Cricetulus griseus: one gene and its partners. The protein of the gene in region 3 purifies or fractionates together with the protein of the main gene of each other region. This does not show direct contact. Links are inferred from orthologs where the notes say so. Each region holds a gene or a part of one and is shown on either strand. Other genes may lie near its edges.

Region 1 (4,344 bases), on a different chromosome or scaffold from region 3:
AGAAATCTTTTAAATTTTAAGAAGCCTTTGGAGATTTTCATTGGACTCAAGGACAAGCTGATTGGGGTAGTATCTGAGATGAATTCTCAATGTACTATTACCTCAGAAATCTCTATCCCTTGATATTTACATCCGATCCACCCTTGGGTAGCAGAGAAAGCCTTAGGCTTCCCACAGCATTCTCTGGATGTAGGGAACTATGCCAAGCCCCTAAGGAGTAGTTACAGGCAGTTACCAAGGCCATCATTGGTAGGAACAACAGGAAGACTTTTGAGATACAACAATGACAGTTCAGCATACTTTCACACACTACAATGGCCTTTTCTTTTTACCATTTCTCATGGCTACCTCAGGAGGTTGTGCAGACATTATCATTTCCATGTCAGGCATGAAGAAACAGAAGCTCAGAAAACTGTGACTCAGCCAAAGCTGACTTGACTCCTGATCACCTGTGTTCGAGCTGGGAGGTTATGAACACCAGTGAGACCCTGGGATCTCTACAAAGACGTTCTGCACCAATCTGGGTTTTAATCTTAGTCCCCTGTAACCTGGACAAAGTTTTTAATGTCCCCGTGTCTCCACACTTCATCAATAAATCACGGGCAGTGCTGGGTACATTGGTATTCTTTTAATCCCAGCACTTGGGAGGGAGAAGCAGGCCAGTATCTGTGAACTTTGAGGTCAGCCACATCTACACAGTTTTTCAGACCAGCCACAGCACATAGTGAGACTCTCCCTTAAAAAGTAAATATATAAGGGCTGGGAAGAGAGCTCAGCAGTTAAGAGGACCTAGGTTTGATTTCTAGCACACACATTGTGGATCACAACTCTTTAACTCCAGTTCCAGGGTATTGGTATCTGGACTCCCAGGGAAACCAGAAATATATCAGCCAAAATATGCATACACATAAAAATGAAAACAAAAAATAAATAAATAAAAATAGATAAAAGCAGCCAAGCGTTGGTGGCGCATGCCTTTAAACCCAGCACTCGGGAGGCAGAGGTGGGTGGATCTCTGTGAGTTCGAGGCCAGCCTGGTCTTCAAAGAGTGTTCCAGGACAGTCTCCAAACCTTCAGAGAAACCCTGTATCGAAACCCCCCCTCAAAAAAAAGATAAAAGCATGAACAAAAACATATTTGTTGTTTGAGATAGGGTTTCTATGTGTAGCTCTGGCTGTGTTGGAACTCACTCTGTAGACTGGGCTGGCCTTGAATTCAGAGATCTGCCTGTCTCTGCTTCTACAGTGCTGGGATTAAAGTGTTTGCCACCACTGTCTAGGCAAATGTTTTCTTAAGAACGATCAATAAATTATCGCTGACAACCATAGTGATAAGGCCTTTAAATTCCAAGGTGTGACTTAAACTAAGCTGTCTGAGGAGCAATATGTGGCAGGTATACAAAACCATTTGGAACCAAAGGAAAACAGAACAATGACAGCAACTCTGTTCAGGTTCCCGAAGCCCTGGGGCCACTAGATCATTTACAAATGTCAAGGGAGCACAGGGCATTGGTGGTGCACGCCTTCAACCCCAGCACTCGGGAGGCAGAGGCAGGAGGATCTCAGTGAGTTTGAGGCCAGCCTGGTCTACAGAGTGAGTTCCAGGACAGCCTCCAAAGCTACACAGAGAAATCCTGTCTCTGAAGGGGGGGGGGGTCAAGGTCTCCGAAGCAGCCCCAGCCCTGAACAAACACGACGTATTCCCCAACCCTCCAAAGGCAGGGAGCCTCCGGGGAGGGAACAGGTACTTCAGTATCAATTTTGAAGAGTCTACAGTGCCCCTCTCTACCCATCTGCAGCCTCAGAAATCGTCTCTCAACCCGCCCCCAAGTTCCAGTCCCGACCCCCCCACACACACTCGGGGCTCCCGCTGTCACCAGGAGCAAACAGCGAGGCAGGGCTGCGGCTGAGGAAAGCCAAGAGTTTCGCCTACAAGGAGCTAACATCCAGACCGCGTTATTTTTGGCGGGAGTTTCCTCACGTCCGCAAGTCTTTTCCTACACACGTCCCTGGTACCCCCAACACCCCGTCGAGCCACGTCCTCCGCTGCCCGAGCCCCGACTCGACTCGCCCACCTCACCCTGACCCCCCGAACCAGGGGTTTCAACAATTGGACCGAACCCGCCCTGCACGCCACACGGGAGGCTCAGGAGGCCGGGTGAGACCCCGGACAAGCTCCCCGCCCCTTCAGAGGGGCGCCCCTTCGGCGGGAGTCTTCAGGGCCCCGACCCCCGGAGGGGAGAGGGAGAACATCTCCCCGGACACCTCAGGGGAAGCGCACCACAGGCTGACGCCGAGTCCGACCCTCGCAGGGAAGGCGAGCGCCAGCCGACGAGGGGGCGGGGGCAGAGATGCGAGCACTCATTGGCCGCCCGACCTGCCCGTCAAGGGGGAACCCGGGCGCCGAGAGCGGCCCCCGAAAGGCGGAACTCTCGCCCGGCCCGGCCAATAGGAGAGCACGGGGAGGGCGGGGCTTAGCCGCCCGGCTGCCAGGACCGGGGAAGAAACAAGATGGCGGGTGCGGGAGGGGGTCCTCGCTTTGCAGCTCCCCCTCGCGCGCCTTCCCCGGCTCCGTCGCCGCCCTCGCTCCGCGGGGTGTGGGGGGGGGTGGCTCGCGCGTCGCCCCCGCGCCCCACCGGGACGCCCCCCTGTGCTGCCCCGGCTGCCCCCCCTGCGCGCCGCGCTCGCCCCCGCCGCCCCGCTCGCTCCGGCCCCGCCGCCGCCGCCGCCGCCCCGTTTTACCTCAGCCGCCGGCCGGGCCCCTGGTTTCTGGGGCCCCGTGGGCGCGGGCGGGCGGGCGAGCGGGCGAGCGGGCGAGCGGGCGGGCCACCGAGCAGGTCCGCGCGCGGGCCCGATGGCTGAGGGAGCGCGGCCTCCGCCTCCTCCGCCGCCGCCGCCGCCGGCCCCGGCCCCGGCCCTCCGCTCCGTCTCCCCCGGCCCGGCCGCCGCTCCCGGGGGGAGGGGGAATGGAGCCGCCGCCGCCGCCGCCACCGCTGCCGCCACGGAGCCCGGCCGAGGGGAGGGAGGGAGGGATCAGCCCCCAGGCAGGATCCGCCCCTCGGCCTCCCCCCGCCACCTCCACCCCTTCCCTCGCTCCCTCCCCGGCTCGAGCCGCCGCACGCGAAGCGGGAGCGCGAAAGCGCGGGGAGCCCGACCGGAGCCGGTGCCCCCGCCCGAGCCCGGCGCGGTGCTGGCGGCTGCGCGGGGAGACGGAGCGCGGAGCCACCTTCCCCGGCTCGGGCGGGCGAGCGGGGCCGAGCGCAGGCTGTCCGGCTCGCCGCCGCGCTTCACCCCCGGCCTGCCCCGCAGCGGTTCGCGCTCTGAATTCGGGGAGCCCTGGCCTCCCCCACCCCGGTCAGAGCGTGGAGGCCCCGCCGCCCCCCCCCCAGGTGGAGCCCCCTGCGCCCTCCCCGCCCCCCCAGAGTGTCACCAGGCGACCACCGAGGAGGTCCCGGCGGTGTGTGGCTTCCACCGGCGCAGGTGGCCGCGCGGATCCCACAAAGTCGTCCCTCCCCAGGCCCCCGGGACAAAGGTCTAGCGGTGTCCACCCCTCCCCTCCCCCAGTGAGGACAGCCCGGGGAAGACCCGCGTCTGTTGTGTGTCCAGGTGAGCCTCCTGTTCCTCACACGGCTGCTGCAACAGACCCGACTCTTCCATCTGTGTGGCTTGTTGTTGTTGGTTTTGTTTTTGTTTTTTCAAGCAAACATAAAAGTTTGACAGTCTGCTTAAGCGAGCTTCCTAGTTCCGTGTGACACTCTAGGCATGGGAAATACTTTTCTCCCCGATTCTGATTCGTCCAGGAGTCGGTTAATTGAATGCACTACGCGGCTTTCTAAAAGACGCCTGCCTGACAAATAGCAACTTCAGACTTGGAGGTGTACCCAAACTGGCTTTTGTTCCAATAAAAGAAAAATAAGTAGGAGAAAAGGGTCCCTTTGCCAACCCCCTTGTGCCTATAAATTTGAAAGCTTACCTCTCATGACGGAGGTCTTAAACACCGATACTTAATGGTGCTTATACAGGGTATATGGATAAGCTGCCACCGAGTATGAAGATGAATGACATATTTTGAAAGCGTTGCCTCCGCTCGCTCGCACGGTTGAAGAGACTTTCACAATTGCTTGCTTGGCTCTGATACCCAGGGCACGGGTGATACCGTTGGAAGGATAGAGAATAAACTCTTAGGGTCCAAAGATGGAAGTATAGGTGTTCAGCACCCTAAGTAAATGATTCAGAGTTTACCAGCCCAGTAAACCAAGGCAGTTAGTTTTCGTTACAGGGGTCCTTTCTCGATAGATGGGTACTGCAAAAATAGCCAATTTTTAAGAAGGGAAGGGCATGGCTT
Region 2 (4,136 bases), on a different chromosome or scaffold from region 3:
TTTTTGTTTTTTGTTTTTTGTTTTTTGTTTTTTTTTTTCCTCACTGACTACAGTCTCTGACAACCTTGTTTTCATCACAAGTATTGGAATAAGTACCTTTGTGGGTGAATGTCCATTCCCACTCCCACCCAGTGGTAGTTTTGCCTACTGTTGCTCATTGTATAGAGAAAGGACTGGGCAGAGGTTAAATTGTCCCAACAGCATGCTCTTGTAATTAGAATGGGGTCCACATCTTACTGCCAGGCTTTAGTATCTGCTCAGTAGTAAACTTGGCCTTTTTTACATATTTGGTCTCAGGGAGCTAAAATTCTATCTTAAAAGTATGCTGCGTGGTGCGATTACTGTGAAAGATGGGTGAACTAGAAGCGAAGCTATCAAGACTCTTCCACCACTATTACACCATGGGGTTTGAGTAGCAGCAACCTGCCAGGCTCTTGCTTTTGCACAAGGGATGATACTTTTGACTAGGGGGATGGCTGATGGTGGTCTAGCTATCATAAACCTTGATGGCCCAGTCTTTTGGGAGTCACGTTAACATCATACATAAAATACAAAACAAAAACATGGGGTCTCCCGTTAAGAGCACAACTGCAAAATCAATGAGTGTTGTGCTCTATGGGAGCGTATGTCAATTAAAGAACAGGAACCTTAGCCAAGTGTGGTGGCGCACGCCTTTAATCCCAGCACTCGCGAGGCAGAGATAGGCGGACCTCTGAGTTCGAAGACAGCCAGGGCTACACAAGAAAACCCTGCGTTGTAAAAAAAAAAAAAAAAAAAAAAAGTGAATAGAGGTGCAAAAGTTTTGCAAGGCCTGACAACTTTCGAAGAAAGCATCTGTCTCGGAGATTATTCCTGCTTCAGCTTTGATGACCAAATTCAAAATAAGCAGAGCAAAATAAATGGATTCCCTACTTGCTGAAAGGAGGTGTTTGCAGGATATAATTCTAGACAAAACAGTTTCTTCCCCCATCTACCAAATACGCCTGTTTGGAAGGGAAAAAAGTTTGCTAGAGAATGCAAAATGGCGACCTCGTGTGACGTCATACCTGTCTCGGTAAGACACTGGCGTCGTAAGGGCGGAAGCAAGCTAAAGCCGCCTCGCTGTGGGCGACCGCGACTAGCCCTGCGAAAAGGTTCAATGTCGGGCGGATGTATCTGGGGGGCGACAGTTTAGTAAGGGCGGAAGTCCTTTGAAGTACGGAAAGGCTCTAGTCCAAGAATGGCTCCAGCGCCTGTCTAGTTTCAGTCACTTCCGGGGCGGATCGGAAGTTGCTTTGTTTTGCTTCAAGATGGCTGCTGGGATGTATTTGGAACATTATCTGGACAGTAAGAGCCGACCGAAGCAGCGGGTCGTGGGTCGTGGAGCGGTGCGGAGGGTCCGGGTTGACAGAGTCTGTAGCTCCGAGGCCCTGGGGGCCTGAAGCTCACAGTTGAGAAAGAGTTGCGTGGGAAGATTGATTCGAGGGAGGAGGAGGAGGAGGAGGGGGCGGGGCAGGGCAATAGAGGCCTCGCTAGTGTTTAGACCCGGGCAGGGCTGCCCGGCCGGGGCAGGGCTGCGTTTCGAAGCGATGCGGGTGGCAGGGGAGGTGTTTCCTGGCTCAGTTCTTCAGGGTCCTTGTCCTCGGGCTACATTTTTGTCTCCTAAGTTGCCCAGGGTCGTTATCACTCATTGTCATCTGGAGCAGCTGCAAATACGTGGTGTAGTTCCCTTTAGTCATTTATGTCCCCAGAGTGGCTTCTCATGAAACTAGGTGGATGCAAGGAACGACCACTTGAGTTGTTTAAACTGGGACACTTGCAAAATCCAGTTCTCATAAAATGAGTTGTGTGTGTTGACAGGCTGGGGACTGAGAATAGGCTGGAAGTAGATTAAACAGTGTTTTATGCCACACAAGATATTTGCATGTTAAAATAGAGTATTGATTTTAATAAAGGAAAGTAACTGATCAGTTAACTGCAGCAGTCCCCAAGTCAGAAATGCAAACCTGATCTTAGAGAATGACAGAAATTTTTAGATATTAACCATAACTTTGTGATTGAGAAGCAAAAATCAAGGTGAATTCTGCAGTGTAGGAGATTTGGGCATCATACAAATATATATATTTGCCTTAGAAATAGGTATAAAGTCTGTCACAGTGAGATCATTCAGGGAAAAGAAAGTGAGCAAGTAAGAAAAAAAAATCTCAAGGAAACAGCCTTTAAAGGATAAGACATCAGTGTTGAAGTTACTGGCTCTACGGTTTAGTATTTGTAAGACTAGGAGGAAGAAAGTCACTTTCAAGAGAAGATAATATGAACAAAGGGTGGATCCTTTGATTTGGTAATCTGTTGGTGACTTAAAGGATCCTAGTGAGCTGATGTTGAAGCACCTTTTTGTTGTTTTTTCAAACAGTGTCTAATGGTACATAGCTGAGGATGACCTTGAACTCCAGGTCCTCTTTCCATCTCCCCTGGGCTAAAATTATAAGCATGTGACATCATGCCTGGTTTAGTAGAAACATTTTTTCTCTTTTTTTATTTTTTACATTCCAATCCCAGTTCTCCCCCTGTCCTTTCTTCCCACTTCCTCCACTCCCCCTTCCTCCCATCTGCTCCAAGGACAGGGTAAGACCTGCCATAGGAAGTCTACTAAATCTGTTCCCATCATCTAGTTATTAGAAACTTTTTTTGGGGGGGGGTGAGTTCCAAGACAGGGTTTTTCTGTGGCTTTGGAGGCTGTCCTGGAACTTGCTCTTGTTGACCAGGCTGGTCTCTTGAACCCACAGAGATCAACCTGCCTCTGCCTCTCAAGTACTGGGATTAAAGGCGTGTGCCGCCGGTAGAAACACTTTAAAAATTGGTGGGTGTGGTGGCACATGCCTTAAATCCCAGCTCTTAGGAAGTTCTCTGAGTTTGAAACCAGCCTGGTCTGTATATTGAGCTCTAGGCCAGCAGGGCTACACAATGAGACCCTATCCAAAAAAAAAAAAAAAAAGTGATGGTAGAGCACTTGCCTAGCAGATGCAAGCCCCTGGGCTGGGGGGATGAGATTTTGCTTCTATGGGGAGACTTAGCTAATAATGCATTTATTCAAGGATTCCCTGGCACTTTCTGTTTGCATGGCAATTCTAAACCTGAGGGAATTGTAAAATTGATACAGACACGTATCTGCCCTGGAAGGCTAGGGAGACGACACAGAGTAAATAACTATGTTAATTATTTAGTTATGGTTGGATAAAAAACTAAAAGTATTCACTAGACTACCTTGGCGCCTATCACAGTCTGGGAAAGTCAAGTTCTGGGCTGCACTTTGAAGAATGAGCAGAAAGTGAGTAGGTATGGTGGGGTGGGAGGAGGAAGACAGCTCTTGGAAAGCTGGTGAGCGAGATTGCACCCAAAAGGCCTGAGCAGAGAGACTGCGTGGCTGAGTGAGGTGATCGAGATAGGAAGCTCAGAGCACGAGAAATAAGGAGTTACTGGAAGGTCATGGTGTGCGTGATGAGTGCTGAAGGAACTAGGTTGGTATTTTAAGTGGGGGGCAAAGAAGATGGAGCAGAAACTGAAAATAAAGGGAAAACTAGTGTGTAGATTGTCACAGAAGAGGAGGAGGATGGGATGGTTACACAGAGACAAGCTAATTGAGAGAGAGAGAGAGAGGCCAGTCTTCTCTGTTGAACAAAGGCAAATGAATCCTTCCCAGATAAACCCATTTCAGGGCTGGGATGTTAAGAGTGCTTAGCTAGCATGCAGGAGACCCTGGGTTTGATTCCCCAACACTGAATATATCTGGTATATTGACACAGAACTATTAGGTCCCAACATTTGGGAGTTTGATAAACGATAACTAGAAATTCATTGTTGGGCATCCAGGCTAGGCTACAGAGACCCTGTCGTCAAAAGAAAAAAGAAAGAAAAATTCAAATGAGGAGAATGAGAAGAAGCTGAACTGCACCTCATTTTTTTTTTTTTTGGTTTTTTTGTTTTTTTGTTTTTTCGAGGCAGGGTTTCTCTGTGGCTTTGGAGGCTGTAGCCCAGGCTGGTCTCAAACCCACAGAGCTCCTCCTGCCTCTGCTTCCCGAGTGCTAGGATTAAAGGCGTGTGCCACCAATGCCCGGCTCTGCACTTCATTTTTTAATGTTGAATTACATATTTTTAGA
Region 3 (3,479 bases):
TGCAAATGTCACAACAGAGACTTGAACAAATCCTGTTCTAAGATGAATAGAAGGGGAAGCTATTTTTCTTCATTGCATTTCTCAACTGCAGTAGGAAGGCCTGCCAGTGAGCAAGACCACCCCAGCAAACACAAGCAAAATGTGACTGTTTCCAAAAGCACAATCTGGGCTGGGTGATGATTAGAGATGGCAGGACTTGAAAGTAGTGGACATATTGGAGAAAAAGAACCACACTTGTTTCTGTCTCCTATAAACATCCATGGTACCCCCACCTATCTCAACCTTCCACTAGTTCCACGCCCAAATCAGAGGCAGAAGAATCAAAGAATGTTAAACCAGCTAGCCACTTTTGTGCACAACCAGTTCTTGGAGCCAAACAGAGGCGGATTCAATTTGTTCTGCCAATTATGAGTACAGAGTAAACACTCACTCTGTCAACAATCTGTTTTACTGGGGAAAGCAATCCACAGCTACAAACCCCACTAACACTTCACTGAGCCATTAGCCACAGGTCAATCACATCACTGCCACATATAAATTATTATCATTAATCAGATTAATCAGACATGAGCAGAGAACATGCTTTATTGAGTAGATATAGAAGAGCACATTCTACCACACGTGGGGAAGGGTTCCGCATCTGTAAAAGGCCTTTACCCCTTAAGAAAAATCCCCAGTGAAGCGGCATTTGGATAAATTTTAACAGTGACACTGAAACTGGAAGGGAGCTGCCACTGAACATGCTTAAAATCAGCTCCCTCCAACCCACAGTGAATATTAGTAGTGTACAGAGATGACAAGAGAAAGGCACAAATGACCAGAGTTAGGATTGTGGTGAGGGTGCCACGTGAAGACAGCAGTGCTGGAGGAGACCAAGTTGGGAAGGGTGACATGTCAGACATCAAAAGCTGCCCCAAGATAGCAGGTTATATAATGGGACAGGGAGAAATTAGAGGGAACATTTCTTCCTTCACTTAACACCACCAAAAATAGGAAACCAGACAACAGGATGATGGTGGCAAGTCCCACAAGGGAAATGAAGTTCTCGGAGGGACAGAAGCACTTCAGCCTGCTGTAGGGGAGGCACTACTGAAAGGGGAAGCAAACCGGTAGGGTGTGGCCACTCTGTCTTGCTGAGTCATGGGCTGAGAAACAGAAGCCATTTTCAAGCACTTTCCACTTCTCCCAGGAAGCTCTGGACAAAATCAGTGCAACTTATGTGGAAGTATAGCTGCCCTATACCAGACTGGCAAAGGCAGGTGGAAATATCTGCAGTGTGATGAATCAATTAACATGTGGCATAAAAGAAAACTGTTAAAGTATTTGGCAACTGCCAACATAAAGGGGGCAGGAAAAAAAAGAAAGAGGGGGCATTTTCTGCTGTGGAAAAAAAAATTAACCATTTCCTTCCAACAAGCTACTGCCCCAGTGCCCACAAGTGAATACAAAGGGAAACATGGAGGCACCACCTCTTCTTCTTCTTCACCCCGTCTCATCCACATGGACCAGGTGCTGTGATCCCCTGGGAAACGCTTCAGGCGGCCCAAGCTCGGGTCAGCCTGAGCCTGACTAAAGGCAAGTCATTTGACAAAAACGGAGAAAAAAAAGCAACCATGAGATGAAACCCAGGATGAATGGACCCTCCTAGTAGACATACATATACTCACAAGTGCTGCCTGTTCCCCACCCTTCATGAAGAATGTGTAAGGAATAACTGCAAAGGGCCCTTCGGTGGCAACCATGTTTGGAGGTCTGGTGACCAGGCAGGAAAAAGCACTAGCACAAAGTTCAGGACACAACAAACCTCACGGAGCTAAAGAACATGAGGAAGGAACCAGTGACTGGACAGGTACAGTACCATAACACAACTCCTTGGGTCAGTGCTATGAGGATCTGTACTTGAGCCTAATACAGATCCGTCCAGGCAACCTCACTGAGGCCGAAACAACAGTTCCTCAGAACTAGTGTCTGCAGTGTACACGAAGGTCGGAGCCAGGACAGTCCTGAGGGGGATGGCCTTCCCAAAGGATACTGTACTTGCCAATCACAAGAGCAACAGAAATGACAGACAGATCCCTAGGGTACGGATTCCTACTGCTTGGGCTCGCTGGCTCAGAAGGACAGGTCACTTTAAGTGCCCTTGGGAGGGGTCCATTTTAAGCAGCTTGGATCCATGGTTTTATTGGAGTTGGACCTTTTGGCCTCTTTGGCTATCCATTCATCTATTAGGTCCTGTGAAGAACAAAGGAGCAACTATTACATACATGAAACTAACACACTTTAAAACAGATTCCAAAATGACTAGAGACAGATTCATCCAGGTTCCAATAATATATTAAAGGTAAAACATGATATTATATTTGGATTTGCAAGCTGCTTTCCTCTCTATTTCTTCCTATTTCTTCATTCTATGAGAACTGAAAACTATTAATTCATTTTTACTTATTACATGTAAGTAACTAAAAATGCAAAAATGGCATGAGCTGAGGTAGCATTTGACAAAATAATCCCAAACCACTTATGAGACTCCTGGAACTCATGAGAACTCCCATGGATGGGCAGAAGTGTTAGGCCTCACAAAGCTGCTTAGCTTGTGTCATCCAGATCTGACAGAGCTTACCCAAAGCTCAGATAAGGACAAGGGAGGAAATAAGCTTAGCAACAAAGGCCACGAGGACCTGGCTGCCAGCTGGAACGAGGCTAGGAGCTTCCAGTCACACCCTCTAAGGGAAGTAAACAGTGGGTAGTGCAGCCACAGAGCTTTGTTAAGCTCTGAGGACACCAAGGGCAGCTGAGGGGACTCTCACCTGTCTCTTTAAAACTAGGTGCTTGCCTTTCCAATACTTGAGCATCTGAAGGGCTTGCAGAGTGCTGACAATGTCCACCGGATTCACAGCTGTTTCCTGGCTGATTTCTGTAACAGAGGCGCTACTGAGATCTCAGTTGAAACACAGAACCCCACTCCCATGTCTCCCAAGGCCCCCTTACATGTAGTTTTCCAGAGCACAAATCTGTGGCACTTAGGTTACCTGATCAAAATGTTTGACCAGCCCAAGTAACTACCCAAAACAGATTCAATGGCAAGAAGCTACTCTGGGCCACTTAGAAATCAAGGTCAATCTTGTTAAGAAATTCTTCCTGTGAAAGGGCCAGATGTCTTTCCTAAAATTCCAATGCTTCATAATACTTGAAACCATTCTTCTTGATTTTTAAAAGAAATGACATATATTCACATGTGTATGTATGTATTTTATGCATATGCGTGTGTTGCCTGGATGTATGTCTATGTACCACATGTATGCCTAGAACTGGAGTTACATACTGTTGTGGGCCACAATCTAGGTGCAATGAATTGAACCGGATTCCTCCAGAAGAGCAGCCAGTACTCTCAAATGCTGAGCCAGGTCTCCAGGTCCTCCTCTTGGTTTTTAGAAGAATTGAGTGTTAACAACTCCAGATGGCAAAAAACACTTTATGAC

The links.
Region 1: the proteins of Kat7 (region 3) and Brpf3 purify together in Homo sapiens (affinity purification with mass spectrometry; 3 studies listed by BioGRID and IntAct, counting the BioPlex papers as one, with this or other methods). This does not show direct contact. The link is inferred for Cricetulus griseus from reciprocal best matches to the Homo sapiens genes KAT7 and BRPF3.
Region 2: the proteins of Kat7 (region 3) and Ing4 purify together in Homo sapiens (affinity purification with western blotting; 6 studies listed by BioGRID and IntAct, with this or other methods). This does not show direct contact. The link is inferred for Cricetulus griseus from reciprocal best matches to the Homo sapiens genes KAT7 and ING4.

What each region holds. Positions count from the first base shown.
Region 1 is NW_023276806.1:233,898,341-233,902,684, reverse strand, and holds the start of Brpf3 (bromodomain and PHD finger-containing protein 3), read right to left. Parts: upstream 2,854-4,344; 5' UTR 2,742-2,853; intron 2,301-2,741; exon of another isoform or gene 2,281-2,300; intron 2,234-2,280; exon of another isoform or gene 2,080-2,233; intron 1-2,079. Other genes in the region: basic proline-rich protein-like, read left to right, coding at 2,854-3,537. UniProt on the Homo sapiens protein: Scaffold subunit of various histone acetyltransferase (HAT) complexes, such as the MOZ/MORF and HBO1 complexes, which have a histone H3 acetyltransferase activity.
Region 2 is NC_048601.1:21,385,905-21,390,040, reverse strand, and holds the start of Ing4 (inhibitor of growth protein 4), read left to right. Parts: upstream 1-1,222; 5' UTR 1,223-1,289; coding exon 1,290-1,326; exon of another isoform or gene 1,327-1,440; intron 1,441-4,136.
Region 3 is NC_048600.1:108,451,258-108,454,736, forward strand, and holds the end of Kat7 (histone acetyltransferase KAT7), read right to left. Parts: intron 2,915-3,479; coding exon 2,808-2,914; intron 2,233-2,807; coding exon 2,131-2,232; 3' UTR 568-2,130; downstream 1-567. UniProt on the Homo sapiens protein: Catalytic subunit of histone acetyltransferase HBO1 complexes, which specifically mediate acetylation of histone H3 at 'Lys-14' (H3K14ac), thereby regulating various processes, such as gene transcription, protein ubiquitination, immune regulation, stem cell pluripotent and self-renewal maintenance and embryonic development.